Linked DNA regions of Astyanax mexicanus. The main gene of each other region encodes a partner of the protein of the gene in region 2 in a complex. Links are inferred from orthologs where the notes say so. Each region holds a gene or a part of one and is shown on either strand. Other genes may lie near its edges. The genes, in order: tmem216, b9d2 and mks1.

Region 1 (3,758 bases), on a different chromosome or scaffold from region 2:
TTAATAAAGGTTACTTCAGCCAAAAGCAGAAATATCAGCTATTAGGTGATACGTTGACTTCAACCAAGTTTTAGTAATTCAGGCTTTACCTCTCAGTGCTGTTCAAATAAAGCACAAGTGTTCATATGTTTAACATGTTCATAAGACGGGGTTTTTGTGGGGTGTCATTTAACGTGTGAATTCTGTGTTCTATGATAAATGCAACCAAGGTATGTATCTTTCTCTTCTTCATGTAAATAACCTTTTTGGATTTAACTTTTTATTTGGTTGTGCCCTGTTAAGCAGAATGACGATTCTGATGCTACTGTTGTGCCTTCCGGTGTACCTTCTAAGAATGAGGAAAACAGTGAAGGTCTTACTGTTCCTGTGCAGTCTGTGAAAAAAACTACCCTAGACAGTCTGGGGCCATATGAACCTGATGTCCCAGTGGGTAAGCCAACAGTGTTTTCGTTAAAGAACATTTTAATATATTAAATAGAGATTTAGGAAACAAATATGTATAATAATAAATGTATATATGAGGGTACATCACTTTTGGCCCTTTGATGTTCTTGTAGGTGCAGAGTTTGTGAAGATGGGATATTATTGCAGAGTCTGCTTCCTTTTTTACTCAAATGAAGACACCGCTAAGAAGGTCCACTGCAGCAGCCAAGCACACTACAACAAACTTAAGGTGCTTTATTACAGCTAAAATAGCTTTAATTTATCATATGTTGCATGCAAGAATAAAAAATCTGACTTTTTTTTTTTTGTTTTCTTTTTTTTTTAGAAACACTTGGAAAAGGAGAAGGCAAAAGCACAAAGAGAAAATATGACCAGAGAGTAACACTGGGAAGAACTGAAGCTATAGGAGATGATGTCCTTGGTACTATACAGTATTTGATAGTGCATGAGCTGTTAGTGCAGTATACTGATATAATGTATATTATACTGGTATAATGTATTTTCAGTAAGCTGATTCATTTGCCATATTTTTTTCCCCTTTTTTTTATCTTACTAGATCCTAGAACACATTCATCTGCTGTTACTTTCTGTCTTGCCATATTAAAAGTATTCCTTCAACTATTTGCTGGTTGTGACTGATTCAGCACTACAGACATACAATAAAACTTTCATTATGGTCTGTCCCTTAAACTGTTTCGTGTCTGGTTTGTAAAATGTATGTTAATAGTAAAATGTTAAAAGATAATAGTATCACATTCCAGTTCTTTGCTCTTTATTGGGTGAGTGCAGCGTCTAATTACTTTAATGAATAATAGAAATTAGAATACTTTTAGGCAAACAATTGGCCTGGTTTACTGATTAGTGATTGATGTCTTTGCAAGAGGAAATTTTAAAAATAAGGGTTTACTGAGTGTTCTTTCTGCTTGCATGCACCAGCGTGCTGAAATAACCCTCCTACATTAATATATTTAAGATAATTGGATTGAATATAGATATCTTATAATTGTATTAGTTATATTTAGAAGATTTTTGAATTTGGGTAATTGAACACTGACGCAATAAATGAAATCACATTACGAAACATGCTGGTAATTGCATTAAAAGATGTTTCTCAGTTTTACCCCAATTTTATTTTTTCTTTTAAACTGAAAGCGTGTCCTCGTGCGTGTGTGCGCTCTCGCTCTTACGCTGTTTCTGATTGGATGGACTTAAGTCAGACGCTAGCAGGTCCCCGAACTCTGATTGGACAACTGTCCAGTTACCGCCCTAGGATGACGCCGTCTCCATGGTATCCAAAATGGCGACCCACGGTAAGACGTATCCAAGCTGATAGTAACTAGTTAAAGCAGAGAGGCTAAAATTACCGGATAAATATATTTAATATATAATAAACAGGTTTAGGACGAGTAAACTCATTGTTCCGGTCATTTTACAGTCAGATAAACGGCGTTTCTCCCGCTGTTCTGCTGTTATTTTCCGAGAAGACGCTGTTCTTTCTCTCTGTTGGGACTAAAACCTCAAACCCGAGTTTGTGTGAGGATGATGTTGATAATTCTGCTCTCTGAGATAAATCAGGCCTGGAGTGGAAAAGTTTTAGACGGTTTTACAGTTCCTGTTCTAGCAGAAACAGCGAAGCATATCCGAATGATTCTTCTTATCGTTCAGTGAAGCTCAGATAATTACTACACTCCAGTCCATTACACTAAACAAAGCGAAACAAACAAAATATAGCTACACATATATTAGGCAAAATAATCTAAAAGGGATAGAAATATTAATATATCTAAATACACTAAAAGTTATATGGCAGCAGCTGTAATTGCACAGTAGGAATGTGCTGACCCTATATCATATCATACAAAATATTGGGATATGTAAGATTAAAACAGTCCATATTGTGCGCATTTAAGCTTACTAGCTACTGTAATTGTTTGCTCTAAGACATTATTTTTATGTTTTGTTGCTACGTTATTTATTTTGTTAAAAAAATCAACAGTCTTGGTAAATTCCTGTTGTTTGCAAAATAGATGAAGTAGTATGTTTTCGAAATTTTTATATATATATATATATATATATATATATATATATATATATATTATATGAAATTTTATTCATATAATTATCTTGTTTCTCTCATTTTCTTTTTCATTACAATTTAGATTTGTTTATATACTGTTGTATTTGTCTTGCTGTGTTTATTGTTTATTACTGTTTGTAGTACCTAGAGCCTGTTTCTATGTATAAAAAGGTATATAAAAGTAAAAAATTAAGTTATTAGTATAAGTATTATTATTATCATCAAATATATAGAATCAGGCCAATGACAATGCTGCAGTATAGTTCCATCCTCTGCTAATAGTTTGTGGTGCTTAATTTGAGATTAATTTATTATCAGTATTCTGTAAAACTGATTTTTATTTAAATTTTTGTAATGCACTAGATTTTTACATTTTGTTATTTTTTCTCTTCCAGGAAAGCACCCCATTGTATCCTTTTAGTGCAATATTATCTCTTTCCTGCTTGTCTTTCTTTACTCCTGTGTTGTCTCAGGGAAATGAGTAATATAACAGTCTATTATTAGTCTTCTTAACAGAAGATCTCAGTTGTCCTCCACACCCCTGCAGGTCCTCTTTTATTTAAACAGCTGGTATTTTGCTGTGTTCTTCATCGCTGAGATCTTAATGTTTATTTATAAAGGTAAAGTATCACAAGAAGTATTCTGCTCTGATATGTGTATTTTATATTAACAATAATACCATCAAACATACTGTTTTTAATTGTTTTTAGGAGTGTTGCTCCCATACCCGCAATCAAATCTCATACTTGACATTGTGCTGCTTCTTCTCTACCTTGGCCTTGAAACCCTCAGACTGTTTTACGGTCAGTGTACGACGCAGAATTTTATTTCTATATTTTAACACACACTAATAAAAAAAAACTGCTGTAGACTCAGCATGCTGGTATGTCTCAGGCAGGCAGTTAAATTATTAAAGATGAAAAGTGCTTCCCTATAAGATTGGTCTCAGAGGCTACTTTTGGGTAGTGTACTTCTCACAGAGAGATCATTAACTGATAGACTTGCCTCTGATGCACTTAAGTGTGCACATTATTTCTATTTCTATGTACTGTTTTTACTACTAAAAGTATGCTTTCACTCTAATATCTAATTTTACTACATATATTTACATTACATTCACACAAATTTTTCTTGTTTTGTTTTTGTCTGTGAGTGTATTTCAGACCTGTAGCATTTTTAATGACTGTAGGACTTCTGATGTTTCTGTTTTTGTAGGCTGGAAGGGAAACCTGTGTGA
Region 2 (3,758 bases):
CACACAGAACATAACATACAAACACACTAAAGAAAAGTTCTATTTTTTATTTGTCTATTTGAATTTGATGATTATAAGTCGTTCATCTATATGACTGTGTAATATAACGAATTAAATAGCAATGTGGAGGACAAAACATATGTTAAAACAATAATTTGTTCTTTTCGGTATTTATAGTTTTTTTCTTGATATTGAAAAAACAAATTTAACATACTGATTGAACAATTTAATTACAACTTATTCACAAAAAGTATTTTATTAAAGTTAAAATATTTTTTTTTAGTATGGGAATTTTTTTAATTTATTTTTTATTGCAGGCTTAGCAAAATATACAAACATGAAGTTTTAATACATTATTCTCATCATATATACACATTTGTTTGCGATTTTACATGAAGTGAACATTACAGAAAGTCTTTTTTACTTATTTTTTATTTATATATAGAAAGAATAATAAAAAAAAAATAATTAAAAATAATTAAAAATAAACCAGGAAGACTTTGTGTATTGTGTATTGTTTTAAAAAAAAGCACGGGTCATACTTTTTTTCTGGCTTATTTCTTATTAATTTAGTTTATTTATTTTTTTTATTCATTTTTCTTTTTATATTCTTTATATTTTATTTCTTTTGGTTTGTTTCTGCCTGATAATTTCTTGTAACTTTCTTATATTAATATGTCAGATTGCTGGTACCATTATTTTTTGTCCTTGAATGTTTAAATTGTATTTGTTATTAATATAGCTCTAATACAAAAAAATAATAATAAAACAATGGGTCCTGAACAGCAGGCGACAGCAAAGAGCTTTAGAGCTGCATCTCTCCTGCCACAGATTCAAACAGAGAGAGCGAGACAGAGCGAGACGCCCCACTATTATACTTCTATCAGTAAATACGTCTAACCACTAGGGGGAGCCCGCGAGTGAATCCTCAATCAATGGGGTGAATGGAGCTAAACGGCTAAAAACTCAAATTAAACAGAGTGCAAAACTACTTATCCGGGATATTAATTTGATTTTAGAAAGTATATTGAAGAATATACTAAACAAGAAAATAAACTTTACCTGTGTTTTTTCTATTGTTATAAAATAAACGTGTTTTCCTATTGAAAGGCGCTAGCATTGCTGCTAATATGTGCTGATTGGTTGGTTAGCTGAGACTTGGTCCCAAACTAGCTGCTGGTCTTAAATAGGAAAAACCTATTGATTTTCATTTTAACATGAAGTCACATTAGGGGCTCCGTATAGCAATCCAAGTAAAAGTAGATTAGCAGATATAAACTACCCTAAATAGATAAGTATTAATTTTAAAGGCCCTCTGGTGTCTGAGTAAAGACCCGCAGCAGATTGTCAGTAGTACAGTGGGAGCTCTGTGTATTAGAGAGTCTGCGCGTTACTAAGGGAAGGAGCGGCTGGAGACGGGCTGTGTGGAGCAGTGTAAACACTGAGCTCAGGATTAGCGCTCTGATCCACATAAACTTACCTACAGCACCGTGTTCCAGCAGATCTCTGCTGAATGATCCGCCTGTGGTGAGCTGGTACTATACTCCTCACTGTATGTGGTAATACAGATAGCTTAGATATTATTATAGACAGATAGGCTGTGTTTTATAAGCTAGGCTAGGCTAGTTAAGCTAGTTTTCTGACTAAGCTACCTGTTTAGCTTAGCCTTAGCCTAGCCAAAGTGAGCTAACGCTAAGAATCACCTGTAACAACAAAGATACAGAGCTTTCAGACCTTAAATACTGCAAAGAAAACATTCATATTTATAAAGTTTTAAGAGTTCAGAAATCAATATTTGGTGGAATAACCAAAAAACCTAGTTTTAAATCACAGTTTTCTCATGCATCTTCCCATGTTCTCCTCCACCAGTCTTACACACTGCTTTTGGATAACTTTATGCCTTTACTCCTTGGTGTTCAGCTTGGTTTGATGGTTTGTGATCATCCATCTTCCTCTTGATTATATTCCAGAGGTTTTCAATTTGGCAAAATCAAAGAAACTCATCATTTTAAGTGGTCTTTTATTTTGTTTCTCCAAAATATCCTAAACTAATTAAGCATACTTTAAAAAATATTAAATATTAAAATCTGCTCGTTCATGTTATCGAAAAGCAATGCAGTTTTCCCAGTGACATACAGGGATTAAGCCTAGTCTTGGACTACACAGCATTGTAAATGGAGATTTTCATTTCAAAGAAAAATATAGTTTATCGGATCCTAATCCTAATTTCTTTTCAGAAAGGGATAATGTTGAGATCTGCCAAAATAATATAATAACATATGGTGTCCATAATATAATTATCCTGACAAAACTAGCTCCATATTCCATATAGTAAATCAGACTTTATTCATATTTCTTTATTAAATTAGTATTTTTATTACATTTATGTAGTTTAAACAATTTTTGACTAACATGACCATTTAGTGAGTTATCTAGCTCAGGAGTTCTCAACTGGTCTGAGCCCGGGACCCACATTTTCTCGTGGTCATTAAGTTGTGACCCACTTTTATAGAATACAAACCAAACAAATTAATGTTTTAACATACCCATTTAAACATACATATGCATGCAAAGTGAGTTTAAGAGCATTTTCTAAAAAAGAAGAAACTGAGGAGGAACATGACAACTACATTTTTAAAAGTTACTGCAATAAAATTAAATATCAAAACTGCACAAAACAAAAAATAAGCCCACAAAATAAGATATTTAATTTCTTTGCATATCTCTGCATTCTGAGTACATAAGTAAGAAACTCTCTCTTTTTCCTCAATATAAAGGACAGTACAACATCAGATCAGCATGAATTATTTTTTCATTTAATTTATATTTTAAATGTATTTCTTTTTTATAAAGCTGTCTGTAACCCTCCCAGAACGTGTCCGTGTCCTGACCCACCAGTTGAGAATCGCAATAAACACCACTATGACTGAATCATGAGGTCACTGATTTAGATTTAAATTCCTCTAAACCTAAAATATAGGATGGAAAAGAAATGCTCTTTTCTGAAATCTGAGTGAGATGTAATCGCATGCTTCTCTTTAGAACAGCAGTTGTGGGTTTAATGGATATATTGGCTCTCTTCATATATATGTAATCACTTCCATATGTACAGAAAGAGTAGCTGACTTATTAGATTACACTGTTGCTTTCTTCTGTGGATCTGCTGTCAAGATATTCTACATCAGATATATAATTAAATTCAGAAACAGTTTTGTAAGGTTTATGTTTTATTTATTTATTTTATTTATTCATTTTATTTATTTATTTTTATTGCATTTTCGCTGTTGTGAATTGTGGGGTATATTATGTTGATATTAGTTAGCTGATTGATTAGTACTATCATTTTAATTACTGATTTCCAACCTACTGTTTAGTGTCTACTGTAAACTGGTTCACACTACAGACCTATTTTATACTATAATAAGAAAAATGTCTTTTTGTATGTATTTTTTTATTATTATTTTTGCCTTTCTTTCTTTCTTTTCCTTTATTCATCTTTTTTATATAAAAAAAATCTTCAGATGTAACTCATTTTCCAATCTTTTGCAGAGTCTTATGGCAGAGCTGCACATAATCGGACAGATTGTCGGGGCCAGCGGTTTCCCTCAGAGTAGTTTGTTCTGCAAGTGGGGTGTTCACACAGGTATCCAATCGTCTCTAATCTTATCTCACATCCCTCCAATCTTTTTAGTTTTGGTTGCAAGGTGTTTGCTTTTGTTGTTCATGAATCTAAACCTGGATTAGTTTCATTCTCATTG
Region 3 (3,758 bases), on a different chromosome or scaffold from region 2:
CCTAATGAGCCTGGAACATCTGCCTGAAGTCCTTAAAGATTTGAGGTGAATTAAGTTCAATTTCCACATGATTCTGCTCGAATTAAGCCACTGTAGTATAATAACTCTTAAACCACGTCCTGTCCTCCACTCTTTAAACTCCAAAAAATGAATAGAGGGTAGTAGTTAGTAGTTAGCAGTAAACACGTTTAACTAGCTAAGCTAAATAACATCAGCTAACTACTGTATCTCTATAACGTTAGCTCTCAATGGATTTACCATGGCTAGCTGTCTAGTTAGCCAACGTAGCTAACGTTACCACGTATTCATTCAGTATGAATACGGTTTAGCTGGATAAAACACATCGTTGTTACAAAAACGGTCACCTAAGTTTGTTTTAAATCAGACTCCAAGCCATTTAGTAACTAACTAGCCTAGCCTAGCCAACTCTAACGCTACTGTTACTGAAGCGAAGCTGGTTCAGGGAGAGCCTGCCCACAGCTCCACCGTTATAATCAGAAAATGACCTCAAAACGCTAGAGGGAGCCCGCGAGGAAGACCTCAATGAATGGGAGCGAATGGCGCTAAACGGTTAAAAACTCTAATGTAAAATATTTCCTAACTGCTTTACCGAAGTATTCTGTTACATTTAGAAAGTATACTGACGTGTTTTGCCAAAAAGCTAAATAAAACCTACCTATATATTTCTATGTTTCTCCAGCAAACGGATTTTAAGCAGTAATCACGCTAGCATTACAGCTAATGTGAGCTGATGCTGGACAAGTTATAATAGTGCATCTCAAATAAAAAATAGAATATTAATGAAAAGTTACTTTATTTCAGTAATTCAGTTAAAAATGTGAAACACAGTATTACACACAGAGTGATTATTTTAAGTGTTTATTTCTTTTATTGATGATTATGGCTTACAGCCAGTGGAAAAACAAAAATATAGTACCAATATAAGACCAATTGGTACTTTTGGCCGTGTGGGCAGTGTGCCTGATGGAAAATGAAATCCGTATTTCCGTAAAAGTTGTCAGCAGAGGGAAAAATGAAGTGAGAAAACACTACACTGACTTTGGACTTTGGACACAGTGGACCAACACCAGAAGATAACATGGCTTTCCAGACTATCACTGATTGTGGAAACTTCACTCTAGACCTCAAGCAGCTTGGACTCTGTGTCTCTCCACTCTTCTTCCAGACTCTGATCCCTTGATTTGCTAATGGTCAATGATGGTTTGGAGAGCCATGTCATCTGCTGGTGTTGATCCAATTTGTTATATCAAGTCCAAAGTCAGTGCAGTGTTTTCCTGGAAAATCTTACAACACTTCATTCTTCTCTCTGCTGACAGATGTAATGGAGATGCGGATTTTATTTTCCAGCAGGACGTGGCACACTGCCCACACTGCGAAAGGTACCAATTGGTCTTATATCATATTCTGAGACACTGATTTTTAAGTTTTCATTAGCTGTACACCATAATCATCAACAATAAAATAGAACACTGTGTGTGTAATACATCTATATAATATATGAATTTTACATTTTGAACTGAATTACTAAACTTTTCAATGATATTCATTTTTTTTAGATGAACTAGTATAGCTAGCAAGATACCTGAGTTTAAAAGTCTTAAAATTTAAACTCAGGTATCTTGTACTCAGGTATTTTTGTACTTAACCTCTTCTATTATTTGCACTTCAATATTGTAAGTCGCTTTGGACAAAAGCGTCTGCCAAATGTAATGTAATGTAATGTAATGTAAAATTGGGGTTTAAACATTTTTATGTCTTCGGTACTAAAACATCTGAAGTTCTATGAAAATATAAAACTTATTTATACAAACATTCATAAACTATGATTTTGCTCAAACGCTAAAGGTACCCATTCATTTTTATTTTGGAATCACCCTGGAGCGCCCTCTGGTGTCTGACAAACCCGAAAGAGACCACTGAAGTAGGTAGTCTCCTCTGTAGAGGGTCTCTGACAAAGCAGCATTTAAGCTTTAGCGCACACGCACGTGGAAAGGAGTTCCGGTCACCTTCGCCCAGATCCCCCAATAGGAGCTCTGGTTAATGGGCGCGCCTCGAATCGACTCCTTGCCCCCTACGTAGTGAAAATTCGAACACCCCTTTTTTAGGGTTGGGTGGGCTTTTTTCTAAGGTGGCCGAGTGAAATGACCAGCCCGGTATAATACTATGATAAATAAATAATACTTTATTTATTTATTTATACATACTTTGAGAATAATATTTATTCTTCATTTTATTTTAGCTTTAGTGTTTTGAACACTGGCATGCTGTTTACTAGCAACTGCTTGAAAGCTGGATGTCAGTCAAGATCAGTGACTAATCTAGTGCCCATTATGAACAGAGTACATTGTGTTTAGCTAAATAACCACAAACATCTTTTTTTTTAACCACAAACATCATTAGCTATCTGTGTTTGCATTTATGACTTAAACAGGCTACCTACACTTGTTCCCTAAAAAAGTCAAATTGAGACTTACCCTTTGTTAGAGTTTACGCAAAGAATCTTTAGAGGGGAGAATACCCACTCGAGAATTTGTTACGGCTTTGTCACAGCACCAGAGGGCGCACCTTGACTGAGTCCAAAATGAGTGGATTCTTATGGAGGAATTTAGAAAAATCAGAGTTATAAATGTTACTTTCTATATTTAAAGAAATGCCTTGAATTGGGACTTTTTCACAAATTGATTATTGTGTTTATCAAAACTAGATTGGCTTCCAGTCTATTTTAGGATAGATTTTAAAGTACTGCTATTAGTTTTAAGGCATTACATGGATTGGCACCATCATAAATTACAGATTGTCTATCTCTATATGTTTCAAGTCATTGTTTAAGATCAAGCACTGCAAGTCTGCTTACAGTACCTAAAATTAATAAGAACCAAAAAGTGGGGGGGGGGGGATTATGTTTTTTATGCACCAAAGAAATATAACAGCTTACAAATAGAGATTAGACAGAGTCAGAAAACAGTTTCAAAAAGTATCTGAAGACATATATCTATAATCTTTTATTTTAATAATTGATTTGTTCATTTTATCATATATTATTTTATAGTTTGTATATATATTTTATATCTGCAATCTTTTGCAATCTTACTTTACTTTTTTATTTGCTCTTTTTGTCATTTTACACTGCATTTCTATTTATATATTTTTATTATTGTTTAACGTTGATTTTATTGCATTTTATCTAGTAAATTTTAATTTACTTGTTTCTTTTATTACTTTTCTAAAGTTTTAACCTCTTAGCTCCATTTACATTATTCATTTAGGACTCGCGGGCTCCCTCTAGCGGTTCCTTGTCGTTTAATGCTGCAGCGATTCTGCTTGTTAAATGATCAGGCTCTCTATAAACTGCCTCTTGCCAAAGACTTTTTACAGGCAAGACAGTTCACTTGACCGCCATCTCGCGACGCTTATGATCTTCTCGTGCAAGACCAGCCTCCTATCTGTTTGAATGGGAAGAGACCAAAATACTCTAAATAGAAGGCATAATTACAAGTTTAACATCATATTTTACATTACTGATAAAATTGACAAATATATAATTAAAACAATGTTTAACGTTTTTTACAAAAATGTACAAAAAACGTCTTTTTTCGGTTTGTTATGGCTACTGCGCCTGCGCACAACTCCACACTTAGCACTAGCAGCAAGCTGAGTGGCTCTCATTAGTACAGCGGTGAGTGGTCTGTCTCCTCAATGATAGGATCTCTGCTCTGGTTTACGGCGCAGTACTCAGC

The links.
Region 1: b9d2 (region 2) and tmem216 share a complex: the UniProt entries of both Homo sapiens proteins name them as parts of the tectonic-like complex. The link is inferred for Astyanax mexicanus from reciprocal best matches to the Homo sapiens genes B9D2 and TMEM216.
Region 3: b9d2 (region 2) and mks1 share a complex: the UniProt entries of both Homo sapiens proteins name them as parts of the tectonic-like complex. The link is inferred for Astyanax mexicanus from reciprocal best matches to the Homo sapiens genes B9D2 and MKS1.

Annotation. Positions count from the first base shown.
Region 1 is NC_064417.1:38,793,435-38,797,192, forward strand, and holds the start of tmem216 (transmembrane protein 216), read left to right. Parts: upstream 1-1,510; 5' UTR 1,511-1,729; coding exon 1,730-1,754; intron 1,755-2,916; coding exon 2,917-2,930; intron 2,931-3,047; coding exon 3,048-3,141; intron 3,142-3,231; coding exon 3,232-3,324; intron 3,325-3,736; coding exon 3,737-3,758. Other genes in the region: uncharacterized protein matr3l1.1, read left to right, coding at 283-430, 558-673, 770-826. UniProt on the Homo sapiens protein: Part of the tectonic-like complex which is required for tissue-specific ciliogenesis and may regulate ciliary membrane composition.
Region 2 is NC_064424.1:5,650,247-5,654,004, forward strand, and holds the start of b9d2 (B9 domain-containing protein 2), read left to right. Parts: upstream 1-1,303; 5' UTR 1,304-1,535; intron 1,536-3,549; 5' UTR 3,550-3,555; coding exon 3,556-3,643; intron 3,644-3,758. UniProt on the Homo sapiens protein: Component of the tectonic-like complex, a complex localized at the transition zone of primary cilia and acting as a barrier that prevents diffusion of transmembrane proteins between the cilia and plasma membranes.
Region 3 is NC_064408.1:26,070,502-26,074,259, forward strand, and holds the start of mks1 (Meckel syndrome type 1 protein), read left to right. Parts: upstream 1-1,144; 5' UTR 1,145-1,215; coding exon 1,216-1,400; intron 1,401-3,691; exon of another isoform or gene 3,692-3,717; coding exon of another isoform or gene 3,718-3,758. Other genes in the region: mrm1 (rRNA methyltransferase 1, mitochondrial), read right to left, coding at 1-69. UniProt on the Homo sapiens protein: Component of the tectonic-like complex, a complex localized at the transition zone of primary cilia and acting as a barrier that prevents diffusion of transmembrane proteins between the cilia and plasma membranes.